Saccharomyces cerevisiae S288C: one gene and its partners. The protein of the gene in region 1 purifies or fractionates together with the protein of each later gene. This does not show direct contact. Each region holds a gene or a part of one and is shown on either strand. Other genes may lie near its edges.

Evidence for each region.
Region 2: the proteins of OSI1 (region 1) and OTU2 purify together in Saccharomyces cerevisiae (affinity purification with mass spectrometry, with the first as the bait; one large-scale study listed by BioGRID). This does not show direct contact.
Region 3: the proteins of OSI1 (region 1) and YLR419W purify together in Saccharomyces cerevisiae (affinity purification with mass spectrometry, with the first as the bait; one large-scale study listed by BioGRID). This does not show direct contact.

What each region holds. Positions count from the first base shown.
Region 1 is NC_001143.9:303,471-306,389, reverse strand, and holds OSI1 (Osi1p), read right to left. Parts: upstream 1,277-2,919; coding exon 506-1,276; downstream 1-505. Other genes in the region: YKL070W (uncharacterized protein), read right to left, coding at 1-179.
Region 2 is NC_001140.6:76,877-80,078, forward strand, and holds OTU2 (deubiquitinase OTU2), read right to left. Parts: upstream 1,478-3,202; coding exon 554-1,477; downstream 1-553. Other genes in the region: YLF2 (Ylf2p), read right to left, coding at 1-438; YHL012W (UTP--glucose-1-phosphate uridylyltransferase), read left to right, coding at 2,060-3,202.
Region 3 is NC_001144.5:956,624-963,288, forward strand, and holds YLR419W (RNA helicase), read left to right. Parts: upstream 1-1,804; coding exon 1,805-6,112; downstream 6,113-6,665. Other genes in the region: ESCRT-II subunit protein VPS36, read left to right, coding at 1-87; CDC73 (Cdc73p), read right to left, coding at 291-1,472. UniProt on the Saccharomyces cerevisiae protein: Probable ATP-binding RNA helicase.

The DNA.
Region 1 (2,919 bases):
ACAAATGGAATATGTGATGCGCACATACCAAAATCGGGGTCATCTTTATTGGAAGAAGTTCTCCATCCGAAGAAACCTTGCCTGCTAGCCTTAGAGGAGAATAGTGTTCCTAGCGGGGGTTTTTTTGATAATTTGTACCTTGAGAGTTCCATGGACTCAAAATGTTTAGGAATGTACATTATGAAATAGATTCTTGGATTCTTCTCAGACTGGCAATTTATGTCTATAATATTAAGGGATGGTTTTCGGCGAATATGCAGAATCTTCGGTTCTAGGACCAGTTATATACCATCCTAATTAAAATCAGAGGACATAATAGAGATAGTTTCAAATCTGGTTAAGCGTTAAAAGATCAGCATACAAAGTGATGCCACAAAATACCTTCTTAAAGGGGCGTGAGGCAAAAGCAAAGTCACATCATATAGCACCTACCAATAAAAAAGTGTATTACACAAAGGTATATTCCGTATCTGAGTTGTATATAAGTAGCCAAATTTGCACTTATCTAAAAGACGCCTTCGCTGCCGTCATAGTTGAAGAACTTTCCATTATCTTCTGGTAAAATTTTTCGGAAGACATCAATTAGCGCAGAGGCACTTTCTTCTGGTGTGATAATATTTACGCCGCTGATGTCTATATTCTTCTCTTTAAAATGATCAAGGCCATATTGGCCCATATCAGTAGATACCATACCTGGGTGAAAAGCAACGACAGTAAAACCCTCCGGTTTCAATTCAAAACTGAGCGTCTTTACCGCATAATTCAAGGCAGCTTTCGATTGACCATAAGCGGAAACAGAAAGTGGTACAAACGCATTGATAGATCCTGCAACACTAGAGATAAAGAATATCTTCCTCGTCTTTTTCAAAAGAAGCAGTGGATAAACTTTTTGAAGGGCTAGTATCGGACCCAGAGCGTTTGTGCTATAATGGTTGAGCCAGACTGATTTGGGAGTTTCCAGGACCTTGTAATAAGAATCAGATACTGCAGAACATGCGATAAAAATATCAATACCCAAGAAGAATGGCGTTTTCTTGATCTCGTCCGCAATATTGCCAATACTTTCGTCCTTTGTAAGGTCAAGTTGGACAATATGGATATTCTTCCTGATTTTTGCTAAATCTTCCACTTGTTTGTTCTTGGGTAATGAAGGTGATCCACGAATAGAGGTTATAACTGTATTGCCCGTAGAAGCGCTTAAAATTTTGACCAAATTAAAACCAATTCCACGGCTACCACCGATGATAAAGTAAGTTATTCTTGATGAAGTATTCATATCGACTTTGTTTGCTTAGAATTCTACTGATTTATGCCACTGGTAAAGGCTTTATTCTTAAAAACGTCAAAAATTAGTTTTGAAGCATCGCCGCCTATTTATTATAACTGGTATACTATCTTACTTATTAGTACTACCATTTATACCGCTATGCATTACTAATCACATTACTAATCTCATTACTAATCTCATTACTAATCTCATTGCTAATCTCATTACTAATCTCATTACAAATAACTTTCTATTGAGGTATTTCTAGGGAATTGCGAAGTTGGTTTGCTTTTTATGAGACCCGCGGACGTTAATCGAAGATATAATCCACGGAAAAATTATATGTCCTGCAATTTGTGCACAGTATATTAATCGGGAACATATATGATTAGATTATTGCAAGTCATGCAAGCTAAAGTAAAACAAGCAATATCAGGAGCTCATAGATATATCATGCACACATCAGGTAGAAGATAGGAAATTATAGAAGATCTGAAGAAATTAGAAGAACTAAGCTCGACTAGCCTAATAGGAAAATGGTGTCCCTTATTTAACCTGAGAAACCAATATTTCGTAGTATCTTCTTTTTTTCTTCCATGGTAATGAGTCCAACAAACTTTGAGCTTCTAAAAAATATAAACTCCAAATGAACCTGATCAGGACAAATGTTCTCTAGGGTAGTTAGATACAAAACCTTTCGGATGAGGGATTTCTTATCCTAGCTATTTAATGAAGCAAAATAAAGCTGTTTCAAAAAGCTTAAGTGTTTGTACTTTTTTTTACCAGGTTAAAGAAACAGGAATAATTATTCGTAGAATTGCAAAATTTTTTATTGACGTACTTGTTTCTATTTTTTGAATAGTCAGTTCTTCGGAAGGCATTCAATAAGAGCCCAATATAAGGGTAAGGTGCACTTTTATACAAGCTGGCCAAAAAAACCGGGAAATGGCAAAAGTTCGAACTATTGTTTCATAGGTACTATTAAATCCTTTCATTTGGTAAAGAAAGGTGCTTGAATGACTTTGCAGACTATTTCTGTTTCCTACCGAATAAATTAGGTGCGCTTTAACGCGCAGTGATGTGTAGATCAATTGAAATGGGGAACTTGCTTATTGAATACAGGATTAAAGAGGAAATGGTACGGTACATTTTTGGATTTTGCCATAACTCACGATAAACTGTGGATGGCTGCATCAAAAGATGGAGAGTTGCTAGATGACCGTCACGTCTGCGTAGTCTCTTCACAACATGTTTTATTGACTTGGTTGATGCTATTGTAGTGATTAAAGAGAACGAGAGATAACGCAAATCAAAATTTTATGTTGTGACATTTGGAAATTGAAGGAATACTTATCTTCGAAAAGCCGGAGCAATGCTTTTACCTCGCTAGAAATAGCATGTCATGTAACATGGTAATGTTAGCTTTATAAATAACCGCGCTATTTAGTAGGCTACTACAATTAACTCCCAGACTTCAAATTAGTCAGAAATGTAATACAATGTTGTGTAACGTTAGTCATATGTTATAATTTGTATTCTCGCAGTAGAGGTAATTCACGATCTTAGGATTTGCGCATGTTTATGATCATAATGTCAAAATAAACTACGTAATGCGTAATTTTAAATAGTTCTTTTGCCCAAAGTAAATGCGC
Region 2 (3,202 bases), on another chromosome or scaffold:
TTCATCTTGTACCACGGATAGATCTCTGACAGGATCAACATTACCTTCTATATGGGTGATGTCTTCCTTTAAGAATCCTCTCACCACTTGAAATATCCCCTCTACGTGTCTGATATCGTTTAAGAACTTGTTACCCAAACCATGGCCTTGAGATGCGCCTCTGGTGAGCCCAGCAATATCATATATTGTGAGTGTTCCAGGTACGCATTTCGCACTCTGATATATTCTCAATAAATTAGAGAGCGGCACGCTAGGTATATTGACTTTGGCACATTCTGCGTCAATGGTAGCGAATGGATAATTTGCAGGATTTCCCAATTTTGAGTTTGTTATTGCTTGGAAAAAAGTCGATTTACCAACATTAGCAAGCCCTACTATCCCTGAAGTTGGATTATTCGATATCCTCCCAAGTAAAAATTTTCCTCCACCAATGTTCATATCCGATTATTACTTCTCTTTATTCTTTTATATCCATATGCTTCAAACTATACAATTAAATAGATGCATTAAGGTTTACAAATAAGCATATCTCATTAGATACGGATGGGAAAAATCAAGAATCATGCAATGAATTATAATGCTCACCTAATGCATAGCTGTGTTTATAGTAAACTAGCTTCAATTCAGGATTTTTCCCACATTCATTGTACACTTGAATAGGTCTTCCACTCATCAGAATGCTAATGGGGCAGTCGAAAACGTGAGAGAGAGCCAAAATCTCAATTTCACCACCCCATTGAGCTGTATGCTCCATCTCTTTCGTATACTCATCAATGTCTTTCATCTTCATAGTTTCTTCATCAAACAAATATGGAATGAAATCATCCCTGTGCTCCTGTACGTAATTACAACTCAACCATCTCAGCTTCATGACATCCATGTCTTGATCCAGTTTTTTTGGATCATGGCGTAATTTTAACTGATCTAATATAGATGCAAAGAGACAGTGGCCATCGGGTTGTATATCGAATTGTTTCAGTTTCTTCAACTCGCATAACTGATCTATAGACTCCTGCTCCATTTTTTTCAAGTCCGGTTGTTTGGATGCTTCTAAAGCAGCCTCTTCTTTCATTTTAGCAATTGCTGCATCTCTTTTGGCCAATCTTTCCTTTTGTCTATTGCGACGCTTCTTTGTCTGGCCTTGTTGCTGTTGTTGAACGGGAACATTCTGTTGTTCTTTCTCATCTCGAGATATGGATAGTTGTTCTAAAAGTTTTTCAGGAGTCACTTCATCTTCTTGTTCTGCGTCAAACACTTCATTATTTGCAATTTTCCAATCCCTTATTTCATTTTCTTGCTTAGTCTTTAGTTTATCTTGAAGATCTAGGCATTTCGAATTAACTTCTTTCCTTTTGGATTTAGTAGCCTGCTTTTTCATACCCGTTATCTTATTCTGTAAATCTTTATTTTCCTTGCGATGTCTCGCCAAAATATCTTCCATGTTTTCCAAATTCTCTCCTGATTCCATGCCGGTCATGATGAATATCTCTTGTTCTCTCTACTAGATTGAATGCTGTGCTTTAGTTGGATTTTGTATTAGATGCTTTCGAGATGCCCAAACTAAAAACAAGGCGTGAAGAAAAAGAAATTTCGCGACGCATAATAATACTTTCTTTGACAGGGCCAGGGCTGCCAACTTTTCAGATTTTAACAATTGAGAAATTTATTGTGGTAAGAAAACCATAAATTTCCACTCTGTTGGAATTAAAATTTCCTGTATTGAACGAGAGTAGAAGCACACAATTTTCTTGAAGAAAAAGTAGTTAGTCTTCCATAATGTTCAATGGCCTTATCACACAAAAAAAAAAGAATGAAAGTACTATCAGCTTATAAGTCCTGATTAATTAAAAAAAGAATGCAGGAATAGCACCTTATAGTAAAAAAAGTAAATTTAAGTAATTAAATATAACTATACTGTAACTTTTTTGAATTGTATTTTCCCTGGCATTTACAATCTTTTTGTAACCTGGAATTTAACGATAACTGACACAAGTGATTCTTGATAATAAAAAAAAAAAGGAAAAATATTTCACTGTTCTACATAGTATATACAAGATCAATGACGGTTTTCTCTGGAGTAAATAAAATAGAGTTTGAAGGTACTTTCGAAGGTATTGGAAAGGATGTTGTTATGTCACAAATGATAAGGGCCTTGCAGAAACATTTTCCTTCGATACGTGACAAGAATTATGAGTTTAGCCTATTTTTGCACATTTTTCAAAGATATGTCTTAGAAAATACTTCAATCACCCATGATCTAGTTTGTGACAAAATTAGATTACCGATAATTGATGAAGTGGTTGAACTCGATGATATTAAAAATTACGGTTTGTTAGAGGGTAAACTATTATCAAAGTTAGCTATTTTAAAATTAACCGGAAAGGCTAATCCAATCATTGGTAAAGAAAGCCCTTTATTCGAAGTAAAAAATGGGATGTCTTCATTGGATGTAATAGTTCGACAAACGCAAAATTTGAATGTACGATATAATTCAGACGTTCCTCTTATATTTATGACCTCGCTTGAAACTGAATCTCAAGTATCAAACTTCCTTGAAGAGCATTATTCTTCTAGCAAAGTGAGATGGAAAACCGTAGTTCAGTCAAGCTTTCCACAAATTGATAAAGATAGATTATTACCTATCGATTTACAAATAAATTCTCATGAAAATGATTTTTGGTATCCTTGCGGGACTGGTAACCTAACTGACACTTTGTATTTTTCAGGAGAATTGGACAAATTAATTGCTCAAGGAAAAGAGATTTTATTTGTTTCAAATGTTGACAATTTGGGCGCTACAGGAGATTTGAACATTTTAAATTTCATCATAAATGAAAAAATCGAGTATCTTGTTGAAGTAGTTGAAAGGACTGCAAATGTTTCAAACACTGGAGTGTTGGCAACATATAAAGGTAAACTACGATCGGTTTATTACAACTGCTTATCCAATGAAAGTGCAAGCACGTGTCGAATTGTCAACACTAATAACATTTGGATTGATTTGAAAAAGCTAAAGGTGCTAATAGAGTCTAATAGTTTAAATTTGCCAATTCATTCTAGTGAAAGTAAAATAACACACAAAAATGAAGAGATAGAGTGTCTTCAATTTAAGACACAGTTGGTCGATTGTATTGCCTTCTTTCCGAACAGTCGAGTATTGAAAGTATCAAGAGACAGATTTTTACCCCTAAGAACATGTAAG
Region 3 (6,665 bases), on another chromosome or scaffold:
TGTGTCGATGAAGGCGATTTACTGATAGACAAGCAACTGAGTGGGATTTACTACTATAAAAACTCTTATTGGCCCTCGCATATATAAGTAATAAATGCATGGTTTGATTACCTGCTCGTAATACTACATTCTCCCAAATAAATAGTTTACATATAAACGCGCGGCTAAACTTCACTTCGTTACTTGAAATGCCAATAATAACACATAACATAGAGTACAAAATCGGAATAGAAACGCCGACTGAAGAAACACTTTCAATGGCCGAAATACCATTCTTCCGTTTATCGTATTCAACGGTATCCTCTTGAAATAAGTTCCTTTTCTAAACTATGCCAGAAATAACGCACGACTTCCACATCCTTAAATCTTTTATTTTTGTCAAGTTCGACCTTTTCTACATTCCATTGCTGCACGTGTTGTGGTACAGAATCACCGGCAAAGTGGAAATAGTAGCCTTTGCAGCGTTGAAATAATTCCTGTGGCGAATTCCACTGATAGTTATTAAACTGCCACGTATGACCAGTAGTGAAGATAGCGACAACTCTGTCCCAATATTCTGGCTTAGTAAACATCCTAGTGTTATCGACTATAATAAATCTAATTGGTCTTGATATACGTTCGAAGTTTTTCTCTATGTTAACTAATCCGTTTGGCACTGACGGTAAGTTACGAGGATTCACGTATTTTGACTCCAGCAGGAACTGTTTTATATTTGCAACAGTTAAAATTGATGACGCAGCCGAAGGAATCAAAATAATTGGATCTTTGCGAGGGCCACCTGATGAACCATTTGTTTTGGAAATACGACCGTGCGCGCCCTTATGACCGGGAGGCAATTTAGATCCTCGTAAAGATCCTTTGATCGACTGTACTAATTTTAGTTCTGCATCTTTTATTAGATAACCAAAGTTGATCGGCTTAGCACCACGCAATGCAGAGTTGTGGTCCACCAATATACGTTCATGTTTCATTGTTTCCACCACAACTGGATCGGAAACTTCACTATCATTTTCAAGAGATGCTGAAGTGGTTGATTTTACAGTCGACAATTCACCAGCCAAAGTTTTATTTTCTATATCTACTTTATCGGATGTCTCGCCTTTCTGACCGGGTGCTTTCAGATATTGGGATGATTCCGTATTGCCAGACAACCAATTTATTAAATCAGTTCTTTGTAAAAATGAAACATTAGTCAATTGTTTATTCTGACAGTCTGCTAGATAGTCTGCGGCACTTGAGTCCTTATTCATCCAACAATGAACAATTATTCGTAACTGTACCAATGAACCATCAATCTCAATTTCCGTTTCTTCATTCAATGGAAAACTATCTTGGGTACTACCATCACTGGATAGAGTTTCTACCATGGTTGCTTTCGTAATATCATCAGTAGACTGTCCCTCATTATTTTTTAGAACCAGTTTATCGCCGTTCTTTAAGTGTTCTCTCAGTCTGTCTAATGAGTTCGCCATAATTTTTTCACCAGTTTCTTGCTCAAATTATTATTCTTTTAACGCCCCGAATTAAGAAACAGCCTGTTTTGGAAACGCAATTTGAAAAAGGGTGGAATATTCGTTGAAGTACTTGTTTTAAACCTGTCCAATCGAAATTTTCATCCTTATGCTTTGAGAACAATATTGCGTTGCCGGTTAACCGTCTCGGTGTTCGATGAGTTGAAAAATTATACACTAAAAAGATACATACTATTCAAAGTTGTAAAAGAGACTCTTAGCTAAGGGAAGTATTAACAATAATCATTCACTTTATACTTTACATCGCAATTGCTTTCATTAATTTTTGATAAATGGCCAAAAAAACGAAAAATAACTCAAAAAGTTCAACTCCAGTGAATGATGTACCAACAACTGCTGGCAAAAAGAAAGCAAAAGGAAAAAAGGGACAAGAACCAGAGCCAGAAGATGACAAAAGGGCCAAGCAACAAAGTAATAGAGCAAAAGTGACATCCACAGCAAGCTGGACAGGTAAATTGCCTCATACAATCTTACACGAAACATGTCAGAAACGAAAATGGAATAAGGTAGAGTATGATATGAAGAAAATCGGTGATAAAGGTTTCATTGCAATTGCAGTTTTGTCATTCACTGACCCAAAGACAAAAGAAACATTGACTGCAAGAATGAACGATCCAACCTATGACAAAGCTTCAGGAAAAGGCCTTGTAATTCCTCAAGAAACTCCAATTGAAGCTAGACACATGGCCTCCACTATTGCGCTATATCGCATTGCATACAACACCAACCTGCACATGATGCTTCCGCCAAACCATAGAAAAACATGGTATGCCCTCGACGATTTTCGAAAAGATAACCTGAAAACAGACGAAAAGCGTATAAACAAACTATTTGATCTTGATCCCTTCAAGACAATGGTGGAAGACAGAAAGCTCAAAGCCCAACGTGAAAAAGAACAAGTGGCCCAGAATAATCAAGCACAGAAAGAACAAGTTGCACGAACCATTTTATCTAGCCATGGTGGAATTTCTTCTTCTGGAAAGGACAGGCAAGAGAGAAAAGTAGCATCTCATAAAAACTCACATAATCCTTCATTAGTGCGGTTTCCAAAAAAGGTTTGGGAAAATTCTATATTTGTTGACCTTGATGAATCGTCTAGACAACTGATAGAAACTTCATTGAAAGAGAAAATTGATTGGCAAGCTAAAAAAATTAGCCATAAAAATGAGACAATTGCTGAAAATCGGGAAGATCTCAAGGCAAAATTATTAACTCTACAATTTAGACCAAAACACGTAGAGGAAGCCATGCTTTATAAAGATCCATTGTCTTTCTTATTGTTTAACTTACCGGAAGATGATTTACCACCATTTTTTCATAAAAAGAAAGGTGATACAAAAAACAAGGTTGAAATAACAAACCTACCGTTATCAACTAGAATGATCGTTGAGCGTTTAACAGAAATTGGTGTCTCTTCAGATGAAGCCTTATTGGCTTTACAACAAAACGATATGAATGAAAATGAAGCGGCCGGGTTCTTGACGAGGGAAATTTTACCAACTTTAAATAGCAATACGAATGAACCTGTATCAGAAACTGAATCTATAGAATGTTGGAACCAAGAGCTAGAGAGCCTAGAGAGCATTTATGAGGGCTGCGTGATGGACGCCAAGGAAGATTCACACTACACGCTCAATTTAATTGAAAAACTCAAAATAAAATTGAAAGTATATAGAACCAAAAATTATCCTGCATCATTACCTGGTATTGTAGTTTCAACCTTTGATAAAAATTACAAGCTACCTGATTATATTAAGAAACAAATATTAACCAGGTTACTGCATTATCTCCAGGAAGGAAATCTAATAGGCGATATGTTAGTATATCATATTTATGAATGGTTGAAAGAGAATATATCTAAGATAATTGACAACCCTGGCCCATTAATTCCAGATTCAGATTCGAAAGGTGCAATAAACAAAAGAAACATTTCAAACGGTAAGAGAAGTATAAATAATTCTAGTTCGAGAAAATTCACAAAAACCACCATTTCTGAAGACACGCTCTCTGTCCTAAGGGAAGAGTACACAAAAAGGATCAAAAGTTCTGAATACAAAAGTATGCAGTTAGTTAGAGAACAACTGCCTGCCTGGAAGAAGCAAAAGGTTATTATAGATATCATCAATAAAAACGAAGTTGTATTGATTACTGGTGAAACAGGTTCGGGTAAATCCACTCAGGTCGTTCAGTTTATACTAGATTTCTTACAGAAGGAAAAAGGAGATTTCGGTAAGACTAAAATCGTATGTACGCAACCCAGAAGAATCTCGGCTATTGGGCTTGCTGAACGTGTTTCTGATGAACGCTGTGTAACTTGTGGGGAAGAGGTAGGTTACGTAATAAGAGGTGTCAATAAAACCAAAGCTTCCACACGTATCAAGTTCATGACCACAGGTGTTCTTGTTAGGTTGTTACAGAATGCTAGAACTATGTTAGAAAACACAATTGTTGTTATTGATGAAGTTCATGAACGTTCTATTGATACTGACTTGATAGTGACATTGATGAAAAATCTCTTACATAGAGTTCGCGGCATGAAAATTGTTTTAATGAGTGCTACTGTTAACGTTGACTTGTTCAAAAAATTCTTTCCGGGGCTAGCAACATGTCACATAGAAGGACGCACTTTCCCCATCACTGATTACTTCTTGGAAGACATTCTTAGTGACCTTGACTTCAAGATCAAGAGAGAGAAGGCTTTGTCTTATGATGATGATAGCGTTGATGAAAGAAATAATGACGACCAATATTTGAAGCCGAGAGCAGATTCTAAGTTTTTTACATCTGGGCAAATCAATTATGATTTGCTTTGTCAAGTGGTTGAATATGTACATAAACGCCTGAAAGCTGCTAATGACAACGGATCTATTATCGTTTTTTTGCCTGGTGTGGGAGAGATTAATAAGTGCTGCAATTTGCTAGCTAATAAATCAAATGAAGCAGATTTTATGGTTCTACCCTTGCACTCCGCTCTAACTCCTGAAGACCAAAAAAGGGTGTTCAAAAAATATCATGGGAAAAGGAAAGTTGTTGTATCCACAAATATTGCTGAAACATCTATTACTATAGATGACTGTGTTGCAACTATTGACACAGGCCGTGCCAAATCGATGTTCTATAATCCAAAGGATAATACTACAAAACTAATTGAGTCGTTTATTTCAAAAGCTGAAGTTAAACAACGTAGAGGTCGTGCTGGTAGAGTACGTGAAGGTTTATCTTACAAATTATTTTCTAAAAATTTATACGAAAACGACATGATATCAATGCCAATTCCAGAAATCAAAAGAATCCCGTTGGAATCCCTTTATTTATCTGTTAAGGCTATGGGTATAAAGGACGTTAAAGCGTTTTTGAGCACAGCTTTGGATGCCCCTCCTTTACCAGCTCTGCAAAAGGCAGAAAGAATATTAACAACGATAGGACTTGTTGATGAGTCCGACAAGTCACTCACACAGCTAGGTCAATTTATTAGCCTGATGCCTGTCATGGATAGTAAGCATGGTAAATTACTAATATACGGCATTCTGTTTGGCTGTACGGACATTTCTGTTTTACTTGTCTCGATACTCGGTATTGGAGTTTTGCCTTTCATCGGAGGTTTTGAAAATAGGGAAAAGATAAAAAAACTGCTATGTAAATATGAAAGTCGTGGGGATTTATTTGCAGTATTGGAAATTGTCAGAGATTACTTCAAAATCAAAGATTCGAGCATCAAAAGGAAATATTTGAGAGACAATTTACTTTCCTATAATAAAATTAATGAAATTAAGTCATCAACAGCCCAATATTATTCTATTTTGAAAGATGTAGGCTTTCTACCAATGGACTATAAAGTTGGAAGCATTTCTGATTTGAATAGGAACGAGCGAAATTTTGATATCCTAAGGGCCATTCTCACGGGTGCGTTTTATCCACACATAGCCAGGGTGCAACTACCAGATGTAAAGTATCTATCAACAAGTTCCGGTGCTGTTGAAAAAGATCCTGAAGCCAAAATGATCAAATACTGGATTCGAAGCGAAGAGTATCAGGACAAATTAGAAGAATATAAGACGAAAATTTCGCAAGAGACGCAAAAGGTTGATTTGGAAGATTTACCGTTACCTGCTACTAGGGCATTCATTCATCCAAGTTCAGTCTTATTTTCAACCAATTCAGTAAACTTGGAAGACGCTAAGTTACTCTCTGAGGTGGATGGTCCAATATCCCGTCAATCCAAAATACCAACCGTTGTAAAATACCCATTTGTTTTGTTTACCACGTCTCAAGTTACTAATAAGTTGTATTTGAGGGACTTAACCCCAACTACTACATTATCATTACTATTATTCGGAGGGGCAATCTCTTATGACATTGGAGGTACTATTCATTCACCGGGCATCGTTGTCGACAACTGGCTCCCAATTAGAACCTGGTGTAAGAATGGTGTTTTAATCAAGGAACTGAGAACACAACTTGATGAGGCCATAAGGAAAAAGTTAGAAAGTCCCGATTATGCTAAAAAATCTCAAATTGATAATTCTGGTGCTGATAAAACTCTAAAAATTGTTGAAAAAATTATAGCTTCCGAACAATAGTAATCAGTTCCTACTGTAGTCCCTGTATAATAATTATCATCTTCATTTTCGAAAAGGAATTTTTTTAACATATAGAAGTGTCAAAGTATAAAACACTAACAAAAATCTAAGAGATTATTGCGACTGCGTGTTTTTCTCTTTGCTGAATCAGGGCTAGAATCCCGTAAACTACATAGCACATTGTCTTTGCCATATTTTAAAAATTTTGTGGCGCCGTCAAAATAAAAAAAAAATACTGAAGGATGCGAGGTTCGAACTCGCGCGGACAACCGTCCAACAGATCTTAAGTCTGCCGCCTTAGACCACTCGGCCAACCCTCCGTCGATAATACAACAACAAGGAAATACAGGATACGAACACCATCCAGTTTAACTTGATTAATCTTTACGCATGCATATTGCTACATCTTTTTTATTCTGCAATATACATCTGTTTATATCTCATTAATGTTGGTAAGCCTCTGAAAAATTTATCAAATACTAGTACAATTGTTTACCAACATCATTTTCGTTGCTAGAAAATTACTATACACCGTTAAGAAAAGACATAAATC